3 linked regions of the Arabidopsis thaliana genome follow. The protein of the gene in region 1 interacts with the protein of each later gene in a pairwise test. Each region holds a gene or a part of one and is shown on either strand. Other genes may lie near its edges.

Evidence for each region.
Region 2: the proteins of AT4G22240 (region 1) and EMB3119 interact in a two-hybrid assay, tested with the Arabidopsis thaliana proteins (one study listed by BioGRID).
Region 3: the proteins of AT4G22240 (region 1) and ATPC1 interact in a two-hybrid assay, tested with the Arabidopsis thaliana proteins (one study listed by BioGRID).

The regions. Positions count from the first base shown.
Region 1 is NC_003075.7:11,762,703-11,770,686, forward strand, and holds AT4G22240 (Plastid-lipid associated protein PAP / fibrillin family protein), read right to left. Parts: upstream 4,721-7,984; 5' UTR 4,526-4,720; coding exon 4,104-4,525; intron 3,984-4,103; coding exon 3,788-3,983; intron 3,703-3,787; coding exon 3,388-3,702; 3' UTR 3,101-3,387; downstream 1-3,100. Other genes in the region: AT4G22235 (defensin-like protein), read left to right, coding at 1,023-1,092, 1,182-1,387; AT4G22250 (RING/U-box superfamily protein), read right to left, coding at 4,983-5,627; IM (Alternative oxidase family protein), read right to left, coding at 7,265-7,473, 7,710-7,757, 7,859-7,930. UniProt on the Arabidopsis thaliana protein: Probably involved in light/cold stress-related jasmonate (JA) biosynthesis.
Region 2 is NC_003074.8:1,310,168-1,317,394, forward strand, and holds EMB3119 (Ribose 5-phosphate isomerase, type A protein), read left to right. Parts: upstream 1-3,129; 5' UTR 3,130-3,197; coding exon 3,198-4,028; 3' UTR 4,029-4,121; downstream 4,122-7,227. Other genes in the region: RPSAb (40s ribosomal protein SA B), read right to left, coding at 53-315, 532-679; AT3G04780 (PITH domain protein (DUF1000)), read right to left, coding at 1,280-1,328, 1,469-1,546, 1,640-1,686, 1,782-1,839, 1,929-1,977, 2,148-2,271, 2,543-2,629, 2,808-2,846; TIM23-3 (translocase inner membrane subunit 23-3), read right to left, coding at 4,312-4,878. UniProt on the Arabidopsis thaliana protein: Catalyzes the reversible conversion of ribose-5-phosphate to ribulose 5-phosphate.
Region 3 is NC_003075.7:2,347,392-2,354,976, reverse strand, and holds ATPC1 (ATPase, F1 complex, gamma subunit protein), read left to right. Parts: upstream 1-2,958; 5' UTR 2,959-3,094; coding exon 3,095-4,216; 3' UTR 4,217-4,479; downstream 4,480-7,585. Other genes in the region: AT4G04650 (RNA-directed DNA polymerase (reverse transcriptase)-related family protein), read left to right, coding at 1-638, 865-988. UniProt on the Arabidopsis thaliana protein: Produces ATP from ADP in the presence of a proton gradient across the membrane. The gamma chain is believed to be important in regulating ATPase activity and the flow of protons through the CF(0) complex.

The sequences.
Region 1 (7,984 bases):
GATTTGCATGTTAATGATTTCAGCTCAAAATCTATATTTGAGTGTTTGCCTTCTACAGATCTGTTTGTTTTGAATTGTCAAGTCTTAAATAAAGTTGGATTGTTTTCCGATTATGACCTGACCTATTCATCATATTTTTTTATTTTTTTTATTTTTGTCTAATTGAAATCTAAATCGGAGGGGAAAAAATCAACAAAAAGAATTTTATACGAGTACATTAATTCTTGCAAATGTTAAATTATCCGTCTTATGATTTATACAAATAAGAATTGAATTAAGGGAGAAACTGATAAATACTTGTTCCTAACAAAGTTTAATAGATGTGTTGAGAAAACACACTTGTCCGTCGGTATAGACACTTATTCACCAATTTAGAACAATATGTAGATGTAGTTAGCTAGTTTATTAACTATAGTTTTTCTATTTAGCTAATTGATTTTATTTAGCATTTACCACTTTTTTTGGCATTGTTGATTACTATCTAAAAGTTGACTAAACAAAATACGTGTTTAACGTTTTTTTAGCTGTCATAATATAGTAATATACAATTCGAGTTGGTATAATAAATATCTGATCGCATCTAAAAGGAAATAGTGAATGGAACGACTTACAAAGAAGTATAATAATCCAACTATTTTTAAAATATCTCCTCCATGCATCCAGATCTGAGATTTGAAAATCTTCTCGGGAACCGGATCGGAGTGAAATTAGTTATACAATTTACAACTATATATAAATTTTAAGAATTTGATTTAAGAAAACATATGTCAATGAAGTCGTAACAGCTAGTCACACGACAGTAAAACGAACAACCTAAACGACGACCAGTTACAGCAATAGTAAAACGAACAATATATAGTAAAATCTGATCGAAGTCGCTAACCGTATATTACGGGTCGCAGTTGCTAGCGTGCGAGTTTACATATAGAATACAATAAAATTGCATGTTTGGTTAAGCTCTCTCCCAACTAACTATTGCTAAAAAAGAAAGAAGCTAAGAAGAACTAAGAGATCAGCAAGTAATGGGGAGCTTAAAGCTGAGCACATTTGCAATAGTCGTTTGTCTCTCCATCCTCCTCATATCTCCTATAGGTACGTAAAAAAGACCAAAATATTTTGATCCAAAGATCTAAAATAAATACATGTTTATGAAATATTGTCTCTTTGTATGGATCATACAGAAGTGAATGGATGGGGAAAGTGTGACTTACGAAAGGGTTTATGTAGACTCGCGGACACGATCTCTACTTGCGATGTACCATGCAGGGCAGTGGACAGCAAGTATCATGGAGGCGAATGCTTAAATGTTGGTGGTGGTCAAGGGATATGTTGGTGCTGCCGTGATTATGATGCTGCAAAGAGCGGTGCTGAAAAGGAAAGCATGTGATTGCAGATGATAGAAAACGACGTCACTTAATTTGTGTGTCTGTGTGTTTTGCTATTTGCATGTTTATGATTTCATCTCACATCCATGTTTGAGTGTTTGCCTTCTACTTTGGGGGTATCAAAATAAAGCTTTGGCTTTTGCAATAAAACTAGCTGTCTAAATTGTGTCGTTGTTTTGTTTCTTTGTTCCTTCACTTTAAACTTTTTCAGTTTTTTTTTTATAAAAAAAAATTCAAACACAAATACGTAATGATGTAGACATGTATTGTGTTACGTTTGTGTTCGTTATAATTTTTGTAATTTTTAGGTGTCATATACTGATAAAATGCCAAAAGTAGTCTGATATATATGGACTATAGTTGCTTTTTTTAGTGGTTGTCATCTTAGTCTTAGATCCATAAATTTATTTAAATTATTATACGAAGAAGGTCGGATGATGAAAGTTACTATTATTATGATAGTGTTTTAGATAATACGAATACAATAATAGTAATCAATGTATATCTTGTTTGACCGTGAAAAGTTTTAGACCCAAGAAATGGACCCTGTTTGTTAGGTGGTGGCAGAAATACTTAATTCCTTTCCAAAAATAAAACACGATTATTTTTCTTTTATACGTTTGCATAAAATTACAAAATTACAAAAGAGAACTAGTCCTTGTTGTTATATGCTGTAATTCTAATGGACCATTCTTATTTTTATTTTGTACTTAACATGATAAAATTTATAAAAATACTGTAAAACATTAATGAGTGAAGAAGATTCGGGAGATACACTTTGCATGGCTGCACATGATATGTCTTAAAACAAGTGACTTTTAAGACAAACCACAATTATTTTCTCTTTTTTCAGTAGTTTGGCAGATTACAAATTTATTGCGAATTTATCATCTAAAAGACTAAAATATAGTAATAGAAAATAAAAAAAATCATCTGCAAACCTAAACAAAAGAATGTATTTTTGACAACAAACTATATTATTACTAACGGTAGTTAGAGCGGACAAATACGTCAGCGATTTAGTCCGCTCTATTTTTAAAATGGGCAATAAACCGTTACGAACTAATTATATTTGTATGTAAAAACAGTCCGTAGTTAATCTGCAGTGGTTTTTTTTTTCTTTTTTAAATTCGCACCTATACAAATATGAATGATAAATAAAAAACAGTTCAAACCGCAAACGAATTTGTCCGCCTTAACCGTTGCAACCATTCAAATCCTATATAGCAAATATGTGCTACAATGATAAAGAGAGACATAGAAGAAAAAGAAAGTAATAAAACTCAGTTTACAGATTATTCTTCATTGTTATCATTATTATTGTCTCCTCCACTTTCAGTTTTGGCTCTGATTCATGCTCTCCGCATCAAACCCTCCACCAAACTGTACATAACAAAACACAGTTTCAAACTTTCAGTTATATGAGAAATTTGGTCAATTTAGGTTTCTTATGTTCTTGTCTGAATTGAGTTTTTCCTTTACCTGATGGTCTCTAAATAAATTACAGAAAGAACAAACACATTCAAAATAGGGCTTCAGATATTGAGAAACTCTATGGCATATGCTAGAAACCTCGAGTACTATACTAACAAGTATCCCATACCATACTAATAGAACCATTTCCAGTGACTGAGTCCCTCAAAAAAAAAATGATAGGCATCAAGCACAGAGTGAACCAATTAGACAACAAAATGACAGTCATCATCTCGATTCTTATCGAAAGACCCGACGTTGCCGGGATAATTCTCATGTAACTCTTGCATCGGTACATAGTTTACTTTCTAAATCAAACAGAAGAGAATGAAATTCTAAAACACTTGAATTTTGTGAAAATCTGAGACACATTTCATAGGCCATAGACGAGATGTTCTGTAGTAGTTAAAAACATTATATTCCTTATCATCGAGTTAATAACAACGATTAAGAAGTAAACCTACAACCACACTATATATTTGTCTCACTTAACACAACGACAAGAGAGAGACATATATTTTGACCAAGTTCAAGGATTCAAGAGAGGGCTTCCTTCTTTGATAAGCACAAAGACACTTCCACCGTCTCCTCTAGAGATCCGAATGTCTTTGTCTAGATAAGTCGTGAGTAGCCAAGACTGCGCATTGTCCGCCGGCAAAGAGAATTTCAACGGTGGTTGGCTTGATATGGTTCTAGCCACAGACGAGGCTGTGTCTTGCACCGAGGTAAGTAACCCTCTGATCGGGTTAAGATCAATCTTTTGACCAAGAACCTCTACATATTCCGGTATCTCAATAGAATCCGTTAGCTGAGGCGTCCCAATTACGCCTTGCTCAAACTTAATCTGCAAGAAAAATGAAATCCAAAACATTACTGAAAACGTTTCAAGATGTTGATATCAGATCATGGTCGATGAATGGTCAATTTACCTGGACGCGTTTAGGGCTTCGGATTTCGAATTTAGCGTTGGTGCTAATCGAGTTTGTACCTAAAGGACCAGCGAAACGAACAGAGTTCTGGACGGTGAAGTTATCTGAATCAATGGTTTGAGAGATCTCATCGACTTTTATTAACGGTACGATTCCTCGTGATAGCAACGGGAACAAATTCACGAACGATGTGTAGCTGCAAAAGAGGTTTAACCAAATCAAAAGCAGCACGAGATCTACCATTTGAATCCAGAATCCTACGAATGATGCTATCTACAGGACTACAAGAGAAAGTTTTCACCGGAAAAAAACTTACGCGAGGATCCATTTGCCGTTGAGAAGGAAAAGAGCTTCCGTCGGAGCTGGAGTAGGGTTCTTAGACTCGAGCTGTGTGATTAGATCTCCGATTTCAGCTCTGGTTTCGCTCGATGCGCTTAAACCTCGATCTGTTCCGTACAACGAATCCACGAGCGATCTCTTTAGCCGCTCCGTCTCTTCCACGTCTTCAATTGCTTCCTCCGCCGCCAATAGAGCTGATCCTATCTCTCCCGTATCTGTGGCTCGGACTTTGAAAACTCTACGGGGGGAAACAGCGATTCCTCCGGTGGAGATCATCGGGCGGTGAATAATTGAGGTCACCGGTACCAGAAACGGAGGCTTGGAGATAGATTTAGAGTTCGGTGAGATTGAAACTCTGGTTTGGCAGCTAAATTGGGTGGACAATTGTACCGTCGCCATTTTTTTTTGTTTCTTCGACTAAAATTTCGAAGCTAGTGAACAAGAATAGACCTGTACTGATTTTATAGACATTGTTACGTAAATGTTTTGCTTTCATCAACTACCAAACTCACACCAAGAGGGATAATATCGACTATTCCACATAGATCATGTACATTCGACTACGATACTGCCACGTGAGAGACAAGATCAACGGCCAAGAATCCACTCGACGGTGTGAGGCGAGCATTGTTTAGGCTAGATAAAATCCAAAATAACGGTTTACTGGGCTTGAATAGACTAAATGGGCCTCGTGAACAAAAAACCTCTTGTATTCTTTTTTGCATTTACATCATCTTCTTCAATAACCAAAAGAAACGTACAAAGTACACAAACCGTAGTTAAAACTTTGGAAACGTATCTAGGGATCACCTCACTTACTCACGTGGATCGAGAACTTTTAGCCGTCCGATCGTTTTCAGAAAATATCGAGTATCTCAATGATCGGACGGTTACAAAGAGGACACGATCCACGGTTCAGCCACAATTCTCTAGAGCACACTCTGCAAAAAGTATGACCACATGGAATAAACGCAGCGCCTTTCTTTCTTCCCATACACACGCAACACACCGAATCATTACCCGTTAACGTCCCAATAGACGCCGTTAATATCTCCGTTTCTTTCCCGTCGTCATCAACGATTTTCTCCGCCGTCTCTTCCAACAATCTCATCAACGAAACTCTCCTCGGCGTCATATCTGCCTCCGCCTCCGTCGATTCTCCACGGTTATACCTCTCCGCTTCTAACGCTGTCGCGAGATTCATACCCGTACCCGATCCATGATCCGATTCGAGAACGAGTCCGGTTTCAATTTGTAACTCTTCGATTTCGTCGTCTCTTGAGGTTGGACTGTGAAGAGTGGTGTTGTTAGTTAGACGGAGATTCCAGGTTGGACCACAGCATCCGATGCATTTGAATCTCAACCGTTCTTTTAACGTCCGTTTCCTTCTGGTGAGATCGTGACCGCTCATCTGTCGTCGGAGCAAATCAAGAAACGTCGTCGTCGTGCGGTGTGTTTCCGTCATCCTCTGACTCGTTCCGAGATCGAGTTCACTCATCATCGACTCGGTAACGGAAACTCTAAACAAATTCTCAGATAGTGAAACAGAATCACCAGTGAAATAGACAGATTAGCTCCGCCATGAGAGAGCCCTGTGAGGGAGAGAGAGAAACTGTTTAGATCTTTGGGTCTCGCAGTGATGATGACATTATAAAGGAAGTTTTCAGAGTTTTTTTTTTCTCTTCACATTTCTTTATTTTTTTTGTTAAAGTTGCTTCCGAATATTGATTTCCCGCGAATTAAAATTACTTTATACAGTTTTACTAATTTTTAACAGTTATAACGATTCTGTTTGACTGGTATTCCACACAAAATTACAGTAGTAGTGGAATCGAGTATATTTGTAAAATATTTTTCCAACTTGAGTATATAACTTTCAATTTTTAAAAACCAATTTTTAATAAGTTACTTACATCATTGTTTAAAACTTAAAAGGTTAATCAACTTATAATTATGTGTAATTTACCGAGAAATGATGTACAGTGTACGCAATGGGGGCAACTATAATGTTAGTTCTTCTGAATTTCTGATAGAAAGAGAAAAAATAAATTTACTTAAGAGGAAAAATTTAATGCTGTTTCTGTAACTGTACGACTTAGTTTTAAAATTAAATAAAAAAGTCTTCAAGGTCTCGAATAGAAACAAAATCGAATTAGTACTTAAGTTTATACTCCCTCCGTTTCATAATATAAGTTGTTTTATACCAAATTTTTTGTTTTATAATATAAGTTGTTTTCAAGTTTCTATGCAAATTATATATTATTTTAATACTTTATGATTATTTATATTCTACAGTTTTTTTTATAATTGGTTGAACATTTTAAAAATAAATATTCTTAATATACGTATTTTTAGTTAAAACAACTTATATTGTGAAACGAAGGGAATATTACCAACAAAAAAGGTCCTCCATCGGAGTTCAAACCCTATTAAAGATTAAACAAATCATCAATCGAATAAAGGTACTATTAATGTAACGCTAACTCTGAAATAAAAGCGACGATCAAAGTATTCGAATTTGATTACTGCTAATTATACTAGACTGATGAATTCTCTTACCTGTGCTATAACCGGAACATGGTTTTTTGGTAAAACCTTTCTGGCGGGAAAACATTTTTGTTATTAAACCCGCGGAAAATCATTTTAAAAAGTGAAAGGCAAAGAAGAGACAAAAAAAAAAAAAAAAAAAGAAGAAAAATTAAAGAAGGCGCATGAATCAAGGCTTTTCCCACGTGAAATGTTCGCATAGACGACGTCGTCTTTGCGCCACACTCTCCCCAACAAAACCAATAAAAATAAAAGTGTGGGATATAGAGATTCTAAACGCTAATACCAATATGCTTTTTGAGAGAATGATACATTCAATGATTTTGTACTTTTAAACATTTTTTTTACTCCTGTGAAATAAGAATTGAAGAAACCGACAATGCAACCACAAAGGCTAGTAGTATGGATAAAATGGTCTACAACGACTTAAGCTCATCAAAGTACATTTACATCATTAGGGTATTTGATTCTCTCACACACTAGCACAACGATGGGAATTTCACATTATTCCTTTATTCCCAAGTATATGGGATTATATCTATTGTTCATGAGCTGATACAAATAATCTTTTTTAGTTTACTTTCTAATTTATTAACTTGTAATGGATTTCTTGAGGCAGTCTACAATACCTTCGCAATGAGCCTCCTCAGGAACAACACACCCTGATTCTTCTTCAGTATCATCATCTTCTAAAATGGAGTGTGGAGAACGCAGACTGCCTAGAGTCTGACAAGCTCTCATTGTCTTGCAGTGTTCTGCTTCATCATCTCTTATGTTCACAAACACATCGTATAGATTTTCTGCCCAACCGTAATCACAAAACAACAAAAACGTTATATAGATTCTTATTTTAACATCAAAGTAAGTCACAAACTGTGAATAATGCTTCCTCCATACAAACATAAGACAGAATCTCAGTCATTTATAGAGCGCAGAATCATAACCATGGATAAATCATAAACTTTTTTTTAGCATTTTGTGGTTCGACGGAATCAGAGATGGAAAGAACTAAACGGATATGAAATAGATTTGCTACCTATTACTGGTCTTCGAGTATTGGGAGTTCTTGATGTTTGGAACTCATCTGCAGACAATACAGGGCCAGTTTAAAAGACTACTAATCATAGGTAAAAACATCTCTACAACTCTGGAGGATATTGATAATTCCTGGAAAGACAAACTCACCAAATAAGTACAAGTCACCTCCCGTATAGTATTTTACTGCGATATCCGGTGCAGGCATATTCTTCAACTCCTCTGTTTAGGGAAACCAAAAAAAAATGAAGCACAACAATTCAGAATGTAAAGATC
Region 2 (7,227 bases), on another chromosome or scaffold:
AAAACCTACACAGTTAAATCACAACTGATGAGGTAAAACACATTCAATATACCTGATGGTCGGTTCTTGGGTCGGTGAGAATCAACAACCTAGGCTCACTGAAAGAAGTCTGCATTTGGTTAGTGAAAGTACCAGGAGTGTGTCTTCCAGCAATCGCATTAACACCAGTGTACTGAGCAAACTTCAAGACAGCTCTTTGTCCATAAGGCCTGGCTGATTGAACAATTATGTCTTTTGGGTTTTCGATTGCTACAATAACCCTAGCAGCCATCTGAAGCTTGTCCCATGTCTTTCCAAGATTGATTATGTAAATACCTGACCAAATAAAAAAAAATCCAAACTTCATAAACAAAAAAAAGATCCAAAAACATCACAAAACTCTATGAAACCGAGAATTACAGATGAATACCCAACACTATGGAAACTGGAGAAACTATCAATTCGTAAGCTACGTGTAGATGAATGTGGAAACGTTGCTTCTATATAGAATTACATGTACAATGAAATTTGGATGAAGATGAGATAGTTTACCGTCGTCGCGTCTTTTGAAGACATAACGCTCCATCTGATAGTTGCAGTTTTTGGTACCAAGGTGAACATCGGCTGATAACATCATCTGGATATCAGCTTCTTTCTCTGATACCTGACGTCCCGCCGTCGCTACTCCGTTCGCCGCCATTTTCGTTTTTTCGCTCTGTTTCTTTCTCTTCTTTCGAAACCCCTAAAGAGTGTTTCGCTTAAGAATTAAGATACTCCGGAAAACCCTAAATGGGCTTTCAAGCCCAAAACCAAAAAATGATATAGCCCAAAACCAAAAATTAATTAATTGTTTTCAGACAAAGAAAGAAAATAATCCCAATAAAAATGCTCAGTAAGATTTTTAATCCTAATTCCAAATTTCTAATAGTTATTATAAATCAAGATTTCATATTGGATCTATGTTTAATTAAGAGTTTAAGACTAATAACTATTTGATGCCTAGTTCTATCATTATTCATATTTTACTTGTGTAATAACTGCCTCATAAATAAACGCCCTTTTCCCCCTCAAGAATATGAACACACAAAGATAAAAGTTGAGTCCTGCCCAAACTGTTAAGAATTGCAAGATGATTTTCAAATTGACTTATCCTTCGTTTCGAATTCCTGCGAATAGGCAATCACAAGTTCTGGTCTATTTTAATTCAAAAAAAAGTAAGTAAAAAACAAACGATGAAACGCAATAGAACACTAGAAATCAAACTGATATACGATCATATGATTAAAACACTTTTGTATGCTCAGTGATCTTCAATCTTTTTCAATCCCTTCATATCAGTCGTCTCCACCCTGTTATTTGCACAGAATGGTGTAAAGATCAATAAATTTGCAAGTTAAAGATTTCAGAAATATGAAAAGCTAAGAACAAAATTCTCTTTAGGCAGAGTATCTTTGTAACAGACTTGTACAGAAAGATTTCAGAGACTTACGTTGAGCCATAGAGAGCAATCTTCTGAACCTTGGTGACCTCAGAACCTGATTGGTTGGCTTCGATGAAGATCGTCAAGCTTGAATTAAATAGATATCGTTAGAACGAGCTGTGATTGCGCTTAATATTATAATATATATATACAAAGACACAGAACATGGTAAATCCTTACCTACGAACATTCTGAAACTTTACGTACTTTAGGACCACCGGTTTTCCCTGTAAATGGATTTGAACAGAGGTCTCAATACAGATAGATAGATCACCAGAATATGTCACAAAATGAATAAAGTCAGATTTCAGAAAGATCATACCTTAAGGTTTTCTTCAGTTAGTTCAGCGGTGTCGCTTGGAGGAAAATCATTGACATTGCTGTTTTATTCATTAGACACGATGTGAGTCGGCGCTTTTATCGAGATAAATCATATTGTTAGGTAGAAATTAGAAACGATTCACATTACCTGAAGCACATGTGCTCTTTGTTTGAGAAAAACTTTACAGTTTTAGGACCTGAAGAAAAGTTAGAATCAAACAAAGTTAAAATCTCACTGGCTAACAAGTAACAGCCCCCACATATCAAAATCCCATCTCCAGTTCAGTAAAAAGAAGTAATTCTTGTAGGCAAGACTAAAATAACAAACAACTATATGCTTATCTTTCAATATAGAACATCAATTTACCTTCCTCTTCAGGGCCTTTGATAGCAAAGGAATGTAGTTTGATAACTTGGTTAAAAGGAATATAGATGAGAAGTTGTTCATCAGCATCACTCTCTAAGTTTAAACCTTCATCTTCTCTATATCCCTACACGAACAAGTAAATCCTTCTCAGGTCATAAAACACCAATAGAAACAGGTAATCATAAATTCAAAAGCAGGCTGGCACGCAATATCACTCCACGAAAACCTAAGTTTGTACTCAATTATCTATATCAAATCTCATAAACTCACACATAAGTTTTTTACAGATAGACAATCATAGCAAACACAAACAGTTTCAAGAACTCACCAATAACAAAAACTTGTATACAGACATACAACTACATAAAGATATGGAACATAAGAGAATAACAAACCTGCTTGAGAGCATTGGGCAAAGAGTGACTTGAGCTTTGGTTAAGACATTCAACACCAGACCAGTCAATAAAATCTAGTAGATCAACCTGATAATCAAACACAACAACCAAAACTTAGATAGAATCGATTAACTATATAGACACATCAGAAAACTTCAAATCAAGATTCGAACAACAGATAAGAACCCTAGATAATCTTCCCACCCAAGAATTGAATTCCTCATTGAAGAAAACCATCGAAACCAACAAAGTTTCGTTAACTAACCTGTCCCTTAGGAATTTGGCTAGCTGATTCGGCGGACATCGCGAGTTTTTTTTTTTTTCTTCCTTTGAAAGAAATCTCAAAGATCGAGAAAGTGGAAGAAAATAATTAGACTCTCCACGAAACCAAACCAAAAAAGGTTTTTATATAACTCTGTTCTCAAAGAAACAAAAACGACATCGTATATTTAACACTCTGATTGGTTTAGCAGGTTATTATCTTCACCAACCCAAATACAACAACCTTAAAACTAGTATTCCAATACTACCCTCAAACCAACTACAAAACTCTATAACTTGCCACTAAACCTTCCTCTTCCACTCAAAAGTCAAAAACCAAACCTTTCGATTTCATTTTATTTCTTCTCCAACCATTCTCAATCCTCTCTCTCCAATGGCTTCCTTATCCTTCGTTTCCTCTTCTCACCTTACGCTACGCACTCCTTCTATTGCCCTACGCAGCACTGGCTCTTCTCCTCGAACCTCCGTTTCATTCTCCGTCAAGGCTCAATCCGTCGCGCTTTCACAGGACGATTTGAAGAAGCTCGCGGCGGAGAAAGCTGTGGAGGCAATTAAACCTGGGATGGTTCTAGGGCTCGGAACCGGATCCACCGCAGCTTTCGCTGTTGATCAGATCGGGAAACTACTCTCTTCCGGTGAACTCTACGATATTGTCGGTATCCCAACGTCGAAACGAACGGAGGAACAAGCACGGTCGTTAGGGATTCCTCTTGTTGGGTTAGATACACATCCGAGAATCGATCTCGCTATTGACGGAGCAGACGAGGTAGATCCGAATCTTGATTTAGTCAAAGGTCGTGGAGGTGCTCTTCTCCGTGAGAAAATGGTGGAAGCTGTGGCTGACAAGTTTATTGTTGTGGCTGATGATACCAAACTCGTTACAGGACTCGGTGGAAGTGGATTAGCTATGCCGGTGGAAGTTGTTCAATTCTGCTGGAACTTTAATTTGATTAGATTGCAAGACCTCTTCAAGGAATTTGGATGTGAATCAAAGCTTAGAGTTGATGGTGATGGCAAGCCTTATGTGACTGATAACAGTAATTACATTATTGATTTGTATTTTAAGACTCCTTTGAAGGATGGATTCGCTGCGGCTAAAGAGATTGGGAAGTTTCAAGGAGTGGTGGAGCATGGTCTGTTTCTCGGAATGGCTACTTCTGTCATTATCGCTGGAAAGAATGGCGTTGAAGTTATGACCAAGTGAGGTTAAAAGTTCAATCTTTCTCTTCTTCTTTGATTGACAAATTTTTCTCCTTTGTAAAATTATCAATTGAGTTTTTATGTGAGATCATTTCAATTTCGTGAATTCGACAAAATCAGCAAAAAGTTGAGTCGGATTGAGCAATTAGATCAATAAAAATGTCAACTTTTATACAGTGGAAATTGAATTCATAAGCCCTAAATCCAGTACCAATGATTCACTATCTAAAAGCCCCTCCTTTAAACTAGTTCTTAAACCCTAACCTTGAGAGATTGAGAAACTTTCATTAGATTGGAACGAATCGCTTGACGATGCGTCTTCCAGCAACTGCAGCCAAAGCCGCAACTCCTCCGACAGCTCCGGCAACCACAGCGGATCTAGGTCCAGAAGCAGCTCTGTAAAGCACACCAGTGGCTAAACCAGCGATCACAGTTGTCAACGAACCGTCGTCTCCGTCTCTCATATACGTAACACCGCTCTCCATAGCAGCAAACATCAACCCTACGGATCCTAAGCAATTCCCGCCGCGTCTTGCAACGAGTCCACCGGAGTTCAAAATCCGATTAGTTCGGATCTTTAGGGATTCGCCTCGTTCGGCGGCTCGCATCCCCGCAATTGTACCCTTGAAGGCTCCGAGAACAGATCCAGTGCAATAACCCCAACCGGTGAAGAAGGTGAGGTTCTCTCCCCATGTTAAGCGTTTTTTCGTAGCTTCTTCTTCGAAGAGAAACTCAGGAGAAGTTGGGAGTTCGTAGAGCTTACGGTACGGAAGATTGACTTGTTGGTAAGGATTGTACTGACGGTACTTCTGCTGTTGTTGATGCCCGGTGCTATGGTTCATCGGATCCGCCATTATCAGGGCTTCTGCGTTTCTGCTTTAGGCTTAGGGTTTAAGGATGAATCGTGAGGGTTTATAACTTTCAAGTCAAGAGCAGCAAAAGGAATAACTTCGGGGACAATCCGAAATTTTTTATCTTTTATTTTTAAAACTGTTGGGCTTTAAATTCTAATCTTGGGCTTTTTGGGCCCTCTTGTTGTACTAGAACTTTTGTTCCGATCTTTTAATGAATCACTGATCACTCCATTAACAACAACACAATGGAATTTTGTTTTGCTAAAGGTTAAAAGAATTTTTTGTTTCTAAAACAAAAACTATGTAGGTCAATTAATTTTCTTTTAGCAACCGGTAGAACTAAAGAGGTCAAAGTCAGAATTTTCTCAGATAAAGACCTAACATGTTAGTTACAAATAGTCTCATTCCTATTGTTGGTAATGTAAACAAGTTATCTTTCTTTAGTTATAGTACATTTTGGGAAAATGAAAGATTAATCGATATAAAAAACAAACAATGACTACATAAGAAAAGGAGTGCTATTCTATCTATATCTTTAGTTTCAAAATTCTATAATACGACCACGGTGAAAAGACAAGACGAGGATATAGCCACAAGTTGATGGGATTGAACAATGAACATCCCTGCAATATGATTGCACATTTCTAAGGTACAAAGTAGTGGATTTGAACATCTCTCTATAATTTGGTGACCTTTTATAAAAAGAAAAATAGATTTCACGTTGACATGGTTACTATAATTTAATATGCTCACGCGGTTTGCCTTTGCCCTAAACTACTAAAGGTCTCATAAATTGTTTCATGGACAAGGCGATGGTATAAGTGGGTGTGAAGTAAGACGAAAAAACTTAACAAAACCTATAACGAAAATAATAAAGATGAATAAATTATAAATAATTAATTAGAAATATTCGTCTGTAACGATTTTATATTGGTCAATGGTAATGAATAATGTACATAAACATGTATTAGTCTATTACATTTGTAATTAAACATTATTCTCGGCCAATGAGCTTGAGAGACAAAATCTTTCGAAATGTTGTTGGGTGGCCACTATGTTATATGTTAATGTATCGAGTATCGACACCAGTAAAGTTTATATTTTTGTGCATAAAGTTAATGATAGGTATGTCTATTTCAGAGTCATTTAGCTGAACTAAACTGAATTATTAATAGAGAACGATCTAAAAAGAGTAGAAAACTGAGTTTCGTTGGAATTAAAATATTTCGTTTTTTTTGGATATAAATAATAATTCGGTTTTCATTTTCAAAAAAATCGAATAAAACTGTAATTGAACCAAATGTATACTAGTACAATTTAAAAATCTCGGACAACGCTATACACATAACTACATGCCTGTAATACTAATACATACCTACTAATCTCAAAGAAATGACACAACACATGAGTGGATTAGATGGATAAGTATTATTCTTTCCCATAATTATTTAAATCGATAAGACTTTAAACCGTGAGATTGACACTGCCGAAGAATTATTTGTCCATGAGAATGACAGTTTAGAAAATTCATAACGATCCATAACAATAAATATATTAATCACAATGCTTACCTATGTTTAATGTAAATGAGTGGATCTAAGCATCAAACTATTATTCCAAATTTTGTTTTCGCCTATACAATAATCAATAATCATTCAAAACGTTGTTCATAGAAGCAACCATTTCTTCCTAAAGCAAGCAAACGTTGTTCATACAAATTGCATTATTAGTTTAAAGAAGACTTTAGGTCGTAATTCATAAACAAAGATGCTCGACGATGATGATGGTACTCTTGCTTCTGGACATCGTATTTAGTGAGATTGCTAGACAACATATATTTCAAGACAAACAAAACAATCCAACGTATTGTGATACTCAAAAGCTAAAATTAGTCTATATAGCAAAAGAATTCAATAACATTTAAATAAAAATTTGGGTAACGCAAACCTAATCAATTATTGTTCAAATAGTATTAATAATTCATAATGCACGAACTACAAAAAATAATATATATTATCCCAAGACGAACTTGTCATTTTATGCTTTTTTCTGTTAAAAACTTCATAAAATAAAATAAAAATAAAGTAAAGTCACATCATTTCAGACAAAAGGATGAATCAGATATTAAATTGCATAACATTAAATAAATAATAAAGTATATTGTTGTCTTAATTTCTTTTTATATAATAGAGGAAAATACAAAGTCTTATTTTTCCATCGAGAGCAAAATCTGTCGTTTTCCTCTGAGAGCAGGTCTAATGGCGAACCAGTTTCTTCCTCTTCTCATTCGTTTTCTTCCAATGCCTCTTCTTCACTACCGTTGCTGTTTCTCTGGAAACGATGCCGTTC
Region 3 (7,585 bases), 9.4 Mb from region 1:
AAAAATCTTCTCCCGGAGGCTCAGGGTTTGCTTGACTGTCAGCATGACGACTCCTTTCTTTGGAAAACGGACCTTCATGCACCATCAAACAGATTCTCCGCTCCAAGAACTTGGTCTGCTCTGCATCCGCAATCTCACACCGTCCCCTGGCATAAGGCGGTCTGGTTTAAGAACCATGTTCCTAAGCACGCCTTCATTTGTTGGGTTGTGGCGTGGAATAGATTGCACACAAGGGATAGGCTTCAGAATTGGGGTCTCTCGATCCCTGCTGAGTGTCTTCTTTGCAATGCTCATGACGATTCGAGAGCACATCTCTTCTTTGAGTGCCAGTTTAGTGGTGTCGTGTGGAGGTTTTTTACAGCCTCAACCAACCTTAATCCTCCTGCCCAATTAATGGACTGTCTTAACTGGCTCTTATCTCCCTCAAGGGAAAAAAATATTTGTCTCATTATCAGGCTGGCCTTTCACTCTTGTGTTTATGCAATTTGGAGAGAAAGAAACCAACGTCTCCACTCCGGCGTCTCTCGTTCTACTGAGTCTATCTTGAAGGACATCCAGCTCATCATTCGCGCTCGTCTGGATCCTTTGTCTCGCAGCACGGCTCATCAACCTAACGCTTTGTCCTTGCTAGGAACTTGGTTTTCGTTGTTCTAGTTCAGGGCTGTTTGTTTTGGTTTTCTAGTGTTGCAGGTTTCGTCTCCCCTTTTGTTTGTTGCAGGAAAAGGTTTGTTTTCTCCTGTGTTGGGCATGTGGCCTTTATTTGGGCTTTTGCCATTGTATGTTTTAAAGTTGAATGGAAATTTATGAACTAAAAAAAAAAAAAAAAAAAATGGTGGAAGATGCCCAAAAAGTTGGTAGCTATAGTGAACCAGAAATAACCGTCTATAAAGCACCCGAAATTGAAGTTAAATTGGATAACTTTAATGAAAAGACTGATATCTATAGTTTCGGGATTGTTTTTTTGAGTTTGGCGCTATTTTGGATCTGACATGGAGAGGGCTCGTACCTTACATAAATACCACCACCACCACCCCCCCCCCCCCTTTCAATAGCTATTGTTGTTTTAGATATATTGATACATCAATGTTTTGTTGTCTAAGTAAGGTATTTGCATTTTGGATTTCGATTCAGGACATTCTGGTTAGGCACGGTTTTGATTCATTTCATAATCGACTTGACACAAATTGCGTGGATGGTGCCGATTTTGTGACCTAAATACTAACATCAAATTTTGTGACCTAAAAGAAGTCTTATATATTTTGAAAGTTGCATTATCATCATTCCATTTCAAAGAAATAAAAAAGAAAGAAAATAAAATAATCAAACCCTTAAAAGAACTTACTCATTTCTTGCATATTACATATGAGTAGCAATTTGTATTGCCTTTCCACTAAGGATCTACCTCTTTTAGGCAACTGAAAATGTTGAATTTGATGGATCATAATCTTCATTGTACTTAGGGTGGTCAACTCATTTTAAAGTCAGTTCTGGTGTGATGTGTAATCTTTGTTTGGTTGGGCTTTTATAACTCGAGCAACGAGTTCATATTAATACGGTGCAGATTTTACATAGATTGTTACTATAACCCTAAATCCAATAAGGTGTATGACTCAACATGTTCAGCATCCTTAATGTTCTATTATTTGAAATGGTGGACGAGTATGCAATAATTGACGGAAAGAATAATGAGCTTTACTTCATGTAAGCATCAAAGATTCATAGGTCGATTTGATCCTTAAGAGATGAATAGAATGTCACTAGATTGTTGGTGATTAATAAAGATGATATTAGTTTGTACAAATCCATGAGAAACTGAGCGTACGTAATAATATGTTTGGTGATGAAAATAAAACAAAACAAATAAAACTAAGAACTTGTTTATAGCAAGAGGTTGGGAATTTTTGTGGTTTCTGTGTGATTTCGGTATGTTCTTGTAACAATAAGCATATTCCAAAATATGTATCCGGATGTAGTTGAAGATACAATAATATATAATTTTAACCAAAAAGAAAACTACAATTTTCATGATAAAATTAATATTTTATTGATTTTAATATATAAACATCTTATAATTAATTTAATGAATAAAATTTTATAAATTTTTATATCTATAATTTAGTTAATTCTTATTATATGTTTATTATTTCGTTCTAATTTCTAACCAAATATTAGTTTTTAATATTTGTTTTGATCTGTAGAATTATTTTATCGGAATTTTTGGAATAAATCGAAGCAATTAACAAATGAAACCATTGTTGTTAGTTGTTACACTATATGATTTTTTCGTTATAACCAAATATTTGTTTTTCTCTATAAAGTTTTGCTTATCAAAAAAATTTTGGAGAAAATTGAAGCAATTAACAAATTAAACCAGATTAAAAAATATATATATATACATATATATATATATCATTTTAAGTCTCTTGTAAGGTAATTTGATTGGTATATATATATACTAATGGACCAAAACCATACCAAAGAAATTAAACCAAACCTAATTACTCTAATTTCTATCCTTTGTCAGATATTTTCTCTCGTTGGGGTCAAAAACTCATAAAATAAAAAAGCAATTAACAAATCAAACCAGATTACAAATTATATATATATATATATATATATATATATATATATCATTTTAAGTCTATTGTAAGGTAATTTGATTGGTATATATATATACTAATGGACCAAAACCATACCAAAGAAATTAAACCAAACCTAATTACTCTAATTTCTATCCTTTGTCAGATATTTTCTCTCTTTGGGGTCAAAACTCATAAAATAAAAAAGCAATTATTGGTTGGCTGATAAACAATTACAAAGAAGTAAGATATATACCACACACCCCAAAAAAAAAAAACATTGAAGATATCGAACCATCCACTAATACAACGCCACGTCAACAAAAAGAGGATCCCACAATTTGCAGACTCCAAATAGCAAATGTAAAACCTTATCTCCAAACCTAATCTCATCACCTTCTCTTCCCTCCACTCAAATCTCTCCTCTCTTCTTTCTTCTTCTTCAATACAATACAATCAAAAGAACAGAGAGATAAGGTTAGAGCAAAACACTGTCTGAAACAAACAACAAAAAAATGGCTTGCTCTAATCTAACAACAATGTGGGTTTCATCAAAACCATCTCTTTCTGCTGATTCATCTTCCTTATCATTCCGATCTGTTCTCAAGTGCCCAACTAACACTTCCTCACCTCCTTCACGAGCTTCCTCTGTTTCACCACTCCAAGCGTCTCTTCGTGAGCTCAGAGACCGTATCGATTCAGTCAAAAACACTCAAAAGATCACCGAAGCTATGAAGCTTGTCGCTGCAGCTAAAGTCAGGAGAGCTCAAGAAGCTGTTGTCAATGGACGACCATTCTCAGAAACCCTAGTTGAAGTTCTTTACAACATCAACGAACAGCTTCAAACCGATGATGTCGATGTTCCCTTAACCAAAGTCAGACCGGTTAAGAAAGTAGCTCTCGTTGTCGTCACCGGTGATCGTGGATTATGTGGTGGATTCAACAATTTCATCATTAAGAAAGCAGAGGCAAGAATCAAAGAGCTTAAAGGTCTAGGTCTTGAATACACAGTCATTAGCGTGGGCAAGAAGGGAAATTCTTATTTCCTCCGTCGCCCGTACATCCCCGTCGACAAATACCTAGAAGCCGGAACTTTACCTACGGCTAAAGAAGCTCAAGCTGTGGCTGATGATGTCTTCTCTCTGTTTATAAGTGAAGAAGTCGACAAAGTCGAGCTCTTGTACACAAAGTTTGTCTCTTTGGTCAAATCAGAACCCGTGATCCACACGCTACTGCCTTTATCACCTAAAGGAGAGATCTGTGACATTAATGGAACCTGTGTGGATGCTGCGGAAGATGAGTTTTTCAGGTTAACGACAAAAGAAGGGAAATTGACAGTTGAAAGAGAGACTTTTAGGACACCAACAGCTGATTTCTCGCCGATCTTGCAATTCGAGCAAGACCCTGTTCAGATTCTTGATGCTTTGTTGCCTCTGTATCTTAACAGTCAGATTCTTAGGGCATTACAGGAGTCATTGGCTAGTGAGCTTGCAGCTAGAATGAGTGCAATGAGTAGTGCTTCGGATAATGCATCGGATCTCAAGAAATCGCTTTCGATGGTGTATAATAGAAAGCGTCAAGCTAAGATTACTGGAGAGATTCTTGAGATTGTTGCTGGAGCTAATGCACAGGTTTGATTTGTTTTGAACCCTCTTTGAATCTTCTATATGAGTCCAAAACTCTCTTCTTCTTCTTTTTTTTTCGTTATCGTTTGTATAATGTATAATTGATAATCTCTAGAACTCTTTATAATCATGCAATTACAAACAAAAACGCGGTTGTATCTATTTTGGCTTTTCATTGGATAAAATGATGGAGATCTTCGTTGAATATTTGTGGATGATGAAGAGTTTTTGTAGGATCCTTTGGAGGAATAAGATTTTGGTTTCTTTGGTTGTTAGTTGTGAATCCTTTTCCATTGTTGTTATGACTAAGGATCTTAGTTAGGGACAACATTGAATCCTTTTGTTCACCCCATCTTTCAAGATTTCATAAGACTTTTTTGAATACCTCTGACTGGATTTGGTAGTCTTTAAATGTACATCGGAAGATACAAGTCTCGAGTCGTGACTAACCAACACAGCTGCTCCTTTGAACCAACTTAGTGAATTCCCCAAGGCAGTTATAGTTGGCTTGTCCAAGTGATTAGTTGGCTCGTCAACAAAGCAAAATGTGTGGGTTGGACATTGAGATGGAGGCTAACACAACCTTAGCCTTTTGTCCTTCAAACAATCGTGAAAATGAAGTGTAATGGTGTTGACTTGGGAGACCAAACCTGATCAGTTTCAAACGCACCGCATCAAGTTTAATATATTTCCTTTGGTCTTGGGTGAGGAGGATAAAGATCTAGGAAGAATATATCCAAGTGGGCTTCTCCACAAAAGAGTACCTTCCGATCCTCAGGTTCTGGCTTATTCTCACTTCACCCACAGTAACTAAATCTCCCGCAAGAACATTCAAAACAGTAACTAAATCTCCCGCAAGAACATTCAAAAGACTAGACTTTGCAGTTCCGTGAAACCCAAGTATCGCTACTCGTGTCCCCGCAACTATACGTACGTCCAATTTTTGAGAGCCTCAATTATGGCGTATTAACGCTTACCTCAATCAACTGAAGAAGGGGACGTGGGAGCTCCGTTGGTGCTGTAAAACCGAGCTCCAACCTATAAAAAAAAAACCTCACGTCGTCACTTGGAACTTGTAGTGTTGCCATCGAATTACCATGTATCTAAAAAACACAAAAAAAAAAGTTAAGAATTTTGTTTCCTATCTTCTTCAATTGCATATCCAACAAGACATTATTTAGTTTGTTTGTTTGTTCACCGCAGGCGGCAGCGGCAGCGGGAAACTCTACCGCAGATTGTTATTCGTTTCGTCGCCACTGCCGCTGACGCAACATTTATGTTCGTTTGGATGCCGCCGACGCTGCCGCTGCCGCAAGTATCTATGTTCGTTTCGCCGCCGCTGCGTTAGTTTTAACTTAATTCTTATTTTCTTAATATAAATTTGTATTATAATTATATTTGAATAAAAAAAATGTAATCTAAATATAGTTACATCCATAACATTTTTTATTTAACTAGTTATAATTTTTAGTTTTCTTTTGTAATTATAACGATAAAAATTTGTGAAAAATCATAAGCATAATTATAACAATAAAGTAGTACACCAAGTTATAAGCAAAAAAGATAGACAAAATCGTTAACTAAAATAATAAACCAAGTCACTAAAAAAAACATATCTAATAAGGTAAGCGACCTTTATTACATTCGTTCGTGATGTTGTTACGTAAAGCTTCCATCGCTCTGTCACCAATAGGCTTATATGCAACATGTTCTTCTCCTTCTTCTTCTTCTCCTTCTTCTTCTTCTTCTTCTTCTTCTTCTCCCTCTCCTTCTTCTTCTTCTCCTTCTTCTTCTTCTTCTTCTTCTTCATCATCAACATGATATTCTTCTATGCTTTGCCACTATAAAAAATCATGATCTTCCCGATGTGAATCCCTTATAAAATTGTGTAGTGCCATTGTCGCTGTTACAATCTTTATCCACTTAGTCAGACCATATTTTGGATGCTTACGATCTAAAATCCTCCATTTTGCTTTTCATACTCCAAATGTCCTCTCAATCACAGATCGCAAACCTGAATGCTTTCGGTTGAACAACTCTCGTGCAGTTACTGGTGGTCCTCCTCTACCAAACTGACCAAGATGATATCGCATCCTACGATGTGGACCAAGATACCCAGTCCTGGTGGGATATCCGAAGTCAACAAGATAATACTTCCCATTAGGCGGATGTGGGAAATAGGTTCATTCGTCGCACAATAATTCAAAACCTTTGTATCATGTGCTCTACCAGGTACACCGACATATGCATATATGAATTTCATATCGAAATTACATATAGCAAGAACATTCATTGTAGGTTCTAGCTTTCTACCTTTATATTTTTCTGCAGTTTGACTTGGAGGGCGAACCGGGACATGAGTTCCATCAAGTGCTCCAACACAATCTCTAAAAAAAGGCCAATATCGATCATCATTCTTCAAAACAGGGTTTACTCTTGTAAACTCACCTTCTTGTGGCTTTAATGTATCCGCTGCAAACTTTAATAGAGCACTCAGAACATCATCAATCTTTCTTTTCACTGTATCCAATGACCGTTGATATCTTGCAGCAATATCTCGAACAGTCTTATCCTAGCCAACCACCTCGAGAAACATGGCAACAGATTCCTCAAGGTAAACATTTTCAGACTCTTCTAATCCATATTTCCTAGTTAGCATCTTACATAAAGTTTCAAATGTTCTTTGGTTCATTCAGAGAATGTCATAACATTGTTGATCTGATCCATGCATAAGTTGTTGAACATGACACCAACCTGCTCCTCAATCTGTTCTATGATTTAATCTCTCCCTAGCTAGTAAGTGAATCAAGCAAACCATCATCATCACCATCATCATCATCATCATCACCCAACATCCATCTTCTAACCATCTGCAAAAAAAGTAACTCCCAATCAAAATAGATTCAAATTTTATCAAGTGTTAAGGTCATAAAAAAAAGACACGGAGCGTCAGAGCAACCCCAATGGTTGAGCTCTTCCAAATTTCTAAACAATAAATTTTGAGAAATTTAAAATCAAGAGTTTTTGTTAGTCCCATTTTTTCTTTGTCCAATGATAGAGCCCTTCAATGCATTTTTTTAAGAAAATTATTATTATTAAAATAAAAATTATAAATATTTTATTACATAAAACTGAATAATTAATACAAATACTACAATTTTAAATATAGATGACACAAAAGCATATATAAATCAAAAACGGAATAACGATTAGTTGTTAGCTTGATTCGCGCCAAATTTTTGTAATATATGTTCAACCAAATCACTTTTCAATTGTTGATGTATAGCCCGATTATGAAATCATGGGCGATAGGCCATAATATTACCGAGATTTGAAGGCATATATGTAGAATAGTTGAAGATTACAAAAAGGAAAAAATTC